Callithrix jacchus: one gene and its partner. Each later gene encodes a partner of the first gene's protein in a complex. Links are inferred from orthologs where the notes say so. Each region holds a gene or a part of one and is shown in the gene's direction. Other genes may lie near its edges.

What was found.
Region 2: USP39 (region 1) and LSM2 share a complex: the UniProt entries of both Homo sapiens proteins name them as parts of the U4/U6-U5 tri-snRNP complex. The link is inferred for Callithrix jacchus from reciprocal best matches to the Homo sapiens genes USP39 and LSM2.

The regions. Positions count from the first base shown.
Region 1 is NC_133515.1:27,397,307-27,401,120, reverse strand, and holds part of USP39 (ubiquitin carboxyl-terminal hydrolase 39), read left to right. Parts: intron 1-2,013; coding exon 2,014-2,166; intron 2,167-3,814.
Region 2 is NC_133505.1:39,306,612-39,311,134, reverse strand, and holds the start of LSM2 (U6 snRNA-associated Sm-like protein LSm2), read left to right. Parts: upstream 1-1,589; 5' UTR 1,590-1,689; coding exon 1,690-1,692; exon of another isoform or gene 1,693-1,824; intron 1,825-2,293; coding exon 2,294-2,361; intron 2,362-4,523. UniProt on the Homo sapiens protein: Plays a role in pre-mRNA splicing as component of the U4/U6-U5 tri-snRNP complex that is involved in spliceosome assembly, and as component of the precatalytic spliceosome (spliceosome B complex).

The DNA.
Region 1 (3,814 bases):
GAAATGAATTATTCTTCCACACTTTGAAGTAGGGATATTAATTGGGTGTGGTGTAGGACAGTAGTTACCAAGCTGCACACCAGCTCCTGGCTGCTTTTATTTTATGATGTGGCCAGAGCATCCAGCCACAGATGTATCATCTGTGGGCTCTAGTTTGTGACCTGGACCAAGAGATACTCATTGTACTGAACATGGAAAGTCCTCTTGGGCTTTGATTAGTGTTGGGCTTTTGATTATTATTTTTCTTTTCAGCATGTGGGGAATATTCATGGTGCCAAATGCTCTGTTTTTGTTTTTGAGATGGGGTCTCACTCTGTTGCCCAGACAGGAGTGCAGCACCAGCACAGCTCACTATATCCTTGACCTCATGGGTTCAAGTGATCCTTCCACCTCGGCCTCCCATGTAACTGGGACTACTGGCATGTACCATCATGCCCAGATAAATTTATTACTTTTTTTATAGAGATGGGGTCTCGGCTGGGTGCGGTGGCTCACGCCTGTAATCCAGCACTTTGGGAGGCTGAGACGGGTGGATCACAAGGTCAAGAGATCGAGACCATCCTGGTCAACAAGGTGAAACCCCATCTCTACTAAAAATACAAAAATTAGCTGGGCATGGTGGCGTGCGCCTGTAATCCCAGCTACTTGGGAGGCTGAGGCAGGAGAATTGCTTGAACCCAGGAGGCGGAGGTTACGGTGAGCCGAGATCGTGCCATTGCACTCCAGCCTGGGTAACAACTGCGAAGCTCCTCAAAAAAAAGAGGTGGGGTCTCATTGTGTTGCACAGGTTGGTCATGTTCTGTTTATTTTTAAGGAAAGTTTGGTAGTTTTTGAAATACTGGTTTTTCTACTTGCGAAAGTTTTATAAGCCTATTTTTTTTTGAGTCACACTGTTGCCAGACTGGAGTGCAGTGGCACCATCTCAGCTTACAGCAAAATCTCCACGTCCCAGGTTCAAGCGATTCTACTGCCTTAGCAGTAGATTACAGGTGTGTGTCACCACACCTAACTAATTTTTGTATTTTTAGTAGGGGCAGGGTTTCACCACGCCTGGATGGTCTTGATCTTCTGACCTCATGATCCACCCACCTCGACCTCCCAAAGTACTGGGATTACTGGCATGAGCCACTGCCAGGTTTGTTAATAATTGAGGTTAAAATTGTTATACATAGGCTGGGTGCAGTGGCTAACACTTGTAATCCCAGCACTTTGGGAGGCCGACGCAGGTGGATCACTTGAGGTCAGGAGTTTGAGACCAGCCTGTCCAACATGATGAGACCTTGTTTCTACTAAAAATACAAAATTGCCCAGGCATGGTGGCGCACACTTATAATCCCAGCCACTTGGGAGGCTCAGGCAGGAGAATTGCTTGAACCTGGGAGGTGGCTGTTGCAGTGAACCGAGATTGTGCCATGGTACTCCAGCCTGGGCAACAGGAGCAAAACTCGGTCTCAAAAAATAAAAGTTATGGATAGTATTATAGAGGGAGAAACTGGAATAAATTCAGTGTTTCAAAGTGAGTTTGGGATGACCTCTGTCCAGTCTGTGACATAATGACTGTGGTGACTGAACCTGGGAAGCATCTGATCCTGCTCTTTCAGTCCCAGAAAGTCATGGAAATCCTCAGTCTCACCCAGCGTGGAGGAAACTCTCCTGCTCCAAAGCTAAGTACATGTGCTGCCCCTGGGAGGTTCTGAGGCTTAGACTGCTGTTAGAAACTTGAGTATTGTATCGTTTCTGGCAGTCAGTTATGAGTTGACCAGACCTGAGGTCTGCAAAAATCACTGGGATTTAGTGATTTTGGATTAAACACAGAGATCCCCTTGTAGATTAGTCATGGGAGAGGATCTACCCCATGTTACTTCAGTCTTTACATCTATTGGTTGGGACTCTTTGCGTGTGTCATGAGATGTTCATGGCCAAAGTCATTTTTGTTTCTGCAGAAATAGCTGCTCCAGACATTTCTTGTGAACTCAGCTCTTAAACAACTTAGAATTTTCTTTTGTTTTACAGTATGTATTGAAGCCCACTTTTACAAAGCAGCAAATTGCAAACTTGGACAAGCAAGCCAAATTGTCCCGGGCATATGATGGTACCACTTACCTGCCGGGTATCGTGGGACTGAATAACATAAAGGCCAATGACTATGCCAACGCTGTCCTTCAGGTAGGATCAAGACAGGAACGCTGAGGAAGGGAAGGACACCCAGAAGGCTGGGGATAGTGATTCACGCCTGTAATCCCAACACTTTGGGAGGCCGAGGTGGGCAGATCACAAGGTGAGGGGTTTGAGACCAGCCTGGCCAGCATGGTGAAACCCCATCTCTACTAAAAATACAAAAATTAGCTGGGTGTGGTGGTGTGCGCCTGTAATCCCAGCTACTGGGGAGGCTGAGGCAGGAGAATGGCTTGAACCCAGGAGGCGAAGGTTGCAGTAAGCCGAGATTCTGTCACTGTACTCTAGACTGGGTGACAGAGCAAGACTGTCTCAAAAAAAAGAAAAAGAAAAGAAAATTTCTACAGTGTGCACCTATTACTTACTCGTATAATTTTCTTAAAAATAACTTAATTGAAAATAAGACAGCTTTGACTTTCTGCCTCTCCCATTTCAGGCTTATCAGCACATGGGTAAAAAAGTCATTGGCTAGCCAGCACAGCAAACATCTAAAGAAAAACAACAGAATGCATCTGGCATGTTTCTTACTTGATACTGCAAGGACACACAGATTCAGTCCCTCATTCCCTGGAAGTTCCAGAGGCCATGAGCCCAGAGGCTAGAAAAAAACCTCACCATTTCACAGCAGCCTAGTGAGCAGACAAAGGAATGCTCTGCTTGTTGCAGAACAATTCGAGTATAGTCCTTAGCAAGACTCACTGTCTGAGGATCATCTGACTAGACAAGAAGGCAGTAATTTCTTGGCCAGTACACATACTATTTCCCGTCCCTCTCTTTTTCTTTGAAATGGAGTCTCACTCTGTCCCCAGGCTGGAGTACAGTGGTGCGATCTCAGGTCACTATAACCTCCACCTCCCAGATTCAAGTGATTCTCTAATTTCAGCCTCACAAGTAGCTGGGATTACAGTATTGCACCACCATACCTGGCTAATTGTTGTATTTTTAGTAGATTTTGTACTTTTAGTAAATTTTGTATTTTTAGTAGAGACATGGTTTTGCCATGTTGGCCAGGCTGACTCAAACTCCTGACCTCAGGCAATCTGCTCTCTTTGACCTCCCAAAATGTTGGGATTACAGGTGTGAGCCACCACGCCTGGCTGTCTCCAGATTTTTTTAATGATCGCCATTCTAACTGGCGTAAGATGGTATCTCAGTGTGGTTTTGATTTGCATTTCTCTAATGACCAGTGATGGTAAGCATTTTTTCATGTTTCTTGGCCTCATATATGTCTTCTTTTGAAAAGTGTCTGTTAATATCCTTTGCCCACTTTTGAATGGGGTTGTTTTTTTCTTGTATATTTGTTTTAGTTCCTTGTAGATTTTGGATATTAGCCCTTTGTCAGAAGGATAGATTGCAAAAATTTTTCCCCATTCTGTTTGTTGCTGATTCATTCTAATGATGGTTTCTTTTGCTGTACAGAAGCTCTGGAGTTTAATTAGATCCCATTTGTCTATCTTAGCTTTTATTGCCATTGTTTTTGGTGTTTTAGTCATGAAGTCCTTGCCTGTTCCTACGTCCTGGATGGTTTTGCCTACAGACCATTTTCTTTTCTTTTTTTTTTTTTTTGAGACTGAGTTTTGCTCTTGGCACCCAGTCTAGAGTGCAGTGGATCTTGGCTCTCTGCAGCCTCTGCCTCCCA
Region 2 (4,523 bases), on another chromosome or scaffold:
CTGCAACCTCTGCCTCCTGGGTTCAAGTGATTCTCCTGCCTCAGCCTCCTGAGTAGCCGGATTACGGGCACCTGTGACCACGCTTGGCTAATTTTTTAAATGTATTTTTAATGACGACAGGTTTTCGCCATGTTGGCTAGGCTGCTCTTGAACTCCTGACCCCAAGTGATCCACCTGTCTCAGCCTCCCAAAATGTTGGGATTGCAGGCATGAGCCACCACGCCCAGCCAATTTTTGTATGTTTAGTAGAGACAGGTTTTCACCATTTTGGCCAGGCTGCTCTTGAACTTCTGACCTCATAATCCACCCGCCTCGGCCTCTCAAAAGTACTGGGATTACTTACAGGCGTGAGCCACCGCCTCTGGCCCTTTTTTCTTTTTTTCAACTTAATTTAAGATTCAAAACACTTATATGAAAAAATGCTCATCGTCACTGGTCATCAGAGAGATGCAAATCAAAACCACATTGAGATACCATCTCACGCCAGTTAGAATGGCGATCATTAAAAAATCTGGAGACAACAGATGCTGGAGAGGATGTGGAGAAAAAGGAACACTTTTACACTGTTGGTGGGAGTGTAAATTAGTTCAACCATTGTGGAAGACAGTGTGGCGATTCCTCAAGGATCTAGAAATAGAAATTCCATTTGACCCAGCAATCCCATTACTGGGTATATATCCAAAGGACTATAAATCGTTCTACTCTAAGGACACATGTACATGAATGTTCATTGCAGCACTGTTTACAATAGCAAAGACCTGGAATCAACCCAAATGCCCATTGATAATAGACTGGATTGGAAAAATGTGGCACATATACACCATGGAATATTATGCAGCAATCAGAAATTATGAGTTTGTGTCGTTTGAATCTGGAGAACATCATCCTCAGCAAACAGACACAAGAACAGAAAATGAAACACCGCATATTCTCACTCATAGGCGGGTGATGAAAAATGAGAACACATGGACACAGAAAGGGGAGTACTAAACACTGGGGTCTATTGGGGGGAAAAGGGTAGGGCCAGTGGGAGGGGGAGGTGGGGAGGGATAGCCTGGGGAGAAATGCCAAATGTGGATGAAGGGGAGAAGGAAAGCAAAGCACACTGCCATGTGTGTACCTACGCAACTGTCTTGCATGTTCTGCTCATGTACCTTAAAACCTAAAATCCAATAAAAAATTAAAAAAAAAAAAAGATTCAAAACTTTTACATTTTATGGTTTTAACCAATATAGAAAAGTGCATACTTCATAATCTTCACAAACTCCCCACAATTCTCGATTAGGAGTGTGTGTAAATCAGGAGGACTTGACGCTATGGACGACAGGATCCTGGAAAAGAACAGTATCCTTTGAGTTGAGGAGCTGAGTCCCGCCACCCGCCCAGCAGCCCAGGCCCGGGTCCGCGCGTGCGCAATGGGAGCCGGCCAGCCCGGGAGGAAGTCGGAATGCAGGAACCCCGCCCCTTTCCCGGCTTCCTCCTCCCTTCGGTTCTACCCAGAGTGCTCTCCCCAGCCACAAGTCGGCCGCGCTCTCCCCTTCAGTGCTTGGAGCTGTCTACGTCCTTTCACGCTGCGCCTGCGCGGCCCCGCCTCGCCCCACGCGCGGGCTCCCGCTTCGGTTTCCCCAGACCTGCTGGCGGCAGCCTGATCTTTTCCCGGTCCGGCCCGCTGCCCGCGGCGCCAAAACCATGGTGGGTACTGTGAAGTCAAAAGGTGGTGCCCTCGGGGAGCTCGGACGGTTGGGGCGGGGAGTCTGGCCTTTGTCCCCCTGGGCTGGAGTTTTAGGTCCTTAGTCTTGTGCCTCAAGTTCGTTGAGGAGATACCTGAAAGCAAATGGGAATTTTTTTTTTTTCCATGGGAGGTTAAAAAAACTCAACCCTGAGAGAGAGTCAATGGGGACAGCGGGAGACAGAAAAGTTAGACCTTAGAGCACTTAATCTGCCGGAGACCAAGCAGGCTTCCGGCGGGTGGGGGTGGGATATTTTCTGCAGTTCATTGAAAGGAGTGGGCAGGGACCCCAGGAAGGTGGCCGACTGAGAGAGCACACTTGGGCCGACGTATGCAGGGCAGAGCCTCTCTGGAACTTTAAGTGATGGGCTCAATGCAGTGTGTGGAATAATATAGGCTCCAGCCTTTCACCTCTGTCAGCCGATTATTCTTTCCTGTGAAGTTTTGAGAACTGTCAGAGATGCAGTGGGGTTCACAATACCAGTGTTTGGTAATACTGGCAAGGGACACTCCTCCCTACCATGTTCCTTCCCACATGATGGTTTTCCCCCTCTCACCCAATAGCTCTTCTATTCTTTTTTCAAGTCCCTTGTGGGCAAGGATGTGGTCGTGGAACTCAAGAATGACCTGAGGTAGGTACCTGTTCCAACAAGTCTGTTGGGGGTGGGTGTGCCCAACGCCCTGGAACCTCTTTAATTTGAGAACTATTTGAAGGCTGGGAGAGGTGGAAGATATAAGGAAGAAATAAATGGGTAGGGCTCAGTGGCTCAGTACTGTAATTCCAGCACTTTGGGAGGCTGAGGAGGGAGGATCGCTTGAGCCCAGGAGTTTGAGGCTGCAGTGAGCAATGATTACTCCATTGCACTCTAGCCCAGGCAATAGAGCAAGACCCCATCTCTAAGAAAAATTTAAAAATAAGTGCCTTGTGCCTTAAATTTACAGATAAGCTTGGGATTATGCTGTGTATTGGAAAACAATACAAAGCATTATATAGTTTAAAGAGTAAGTACTAGTAGCCAGGCTCCCTGGCTCTCGGGTTGGGCGAGGTGACTCATACCTGTAAGCCCAGCCTTTGGGAGGCCGTGATGGGTGGTCACCACGAGGTCAGGAGTTCAAGACCAGCCAGACCAAGATGGTGAAACCCTGTCTCTACTAAAAATGCAAAAATAAGCCAGGTGTGGTGTCAGGCGCCTGTGATTCCAGCTACTCAGGAGACTGAGGCAGGAGAATCGCTTGAACCTAGGTGGCAGAGATGGCGGTGAGCTGAGATTGTGCCACTGCACTCCAGCCTGGATGATAGAGTGAGACTCCATCTGGGAAAAAAAAAAAAAAGTAAATACTAGGCTGGTCATGGTGGCTCACACCTGTAACCTCAGTGCTTTGGGAGGCTGAGATAGGAAGATCACTTGAGTCCAGGAGTTTGAGACTAGCCTGGGCAACATAGTGAGACCTCTATTTCTACAAAAAATTTAAAAATTAGCCAGGTGTAGTGATGCATGTCTGTAGTCCCAGTTATTAGGGACTAATCCCAGCCTGAGGTGGGATGATCACTTGAACCCAGGAAGTCGAGGCTACAGCAAGCCATGATTATACCACTTTACTCCAGCCTGGGTGACAGAGGGAGACTGTGTCTCAAAAAAGAACAGGCCATAGGATGGGCATGGTGCACAGTGGCTTACACTTGTAATCCTAGCACTTTGGGAGGCTGAGGTGGGAGGATCACGAGGTCAAGAGATCTAGATCATTCTGGCCTATATAGTGAAACCTTGTCTCTACTAAAAATACAAAAATTAGCTGGGCGTGGTGGCCCGCACCTGTAGTCCCAGTTACTAGGGAGGCAGAAGCAGGAGAATCATTTGAACCCGGGAGGTGGAGGTTGCAGTGAGCCAAGATTGCACCACTGCACTCCAGCCTGGCGACAGAGTGAGACTCCCATCTCAAAACAAAAAAAGAACAGGCCATAAACAGCAAATGTTATTTCTACAAAATGAGAAGCACCCATTAGGAAGAATATAGACTCTCTGATAGAAGGTTCTACGGGGCTAGAAGGACAGGGAGAAGTCTCTCAAAAATACAGCATTTAGTCTAAGTCCTGAAATAAGATTAAAATAAAAGATACAAGTGGGAGGAGATTTAAAAGCAGTGCAGGCATTAGTTTTCTGTTTATCCTTTATTTTTTTTATTTTTATTTTTTTTGAGACAAGAGTCTGACTCTGTTGCCCAGGCTGGAGTGCAGTAACACTACTCTTATCGGCTCACTGCAACCTCAGCCTCCCGAGTTCAAGTGATTCTCTTGTCTCAGCCTCCCCGAGTAGGTAGGATTATAGCTGCCTGCCACAATGCCCAGTTAATTTTTGTATTTTTTGTAGAGATGAGGTTTCACCATGTTGGCCAGGCTTGTCACAAACTCCAGACCCCAAATGATCCACCCGCCTCATCACCCCTAAGTGCTGGGATTACAGGCATGAGCCACCTTGCACGGCCCAGACACTGGGTTTTAAATACTTGAGAATTTTTTTTTTTTTTTTGAGACGGAGTTTCGTTCTTGTTACCCAGGCTGGAGTGCAATGACATTATCTCGGCTCACCACAACCTCCACCTCCTGGGTTCAGGCAATTCTGCTGCCTCAGCCTCCTGAGTAGCTGGGATTATAGGCACGCGCCACCATGCCCAGCTAATTTTTTGTATTTTTAGTAGAGACGGAGTTTCACCATGTTGACCAGGATGGTCTTGATCTCTTGACCTCGTGACCCACCCGCCTCGGCCTCCCAAAGTGCTGGGATTACAGGCATGA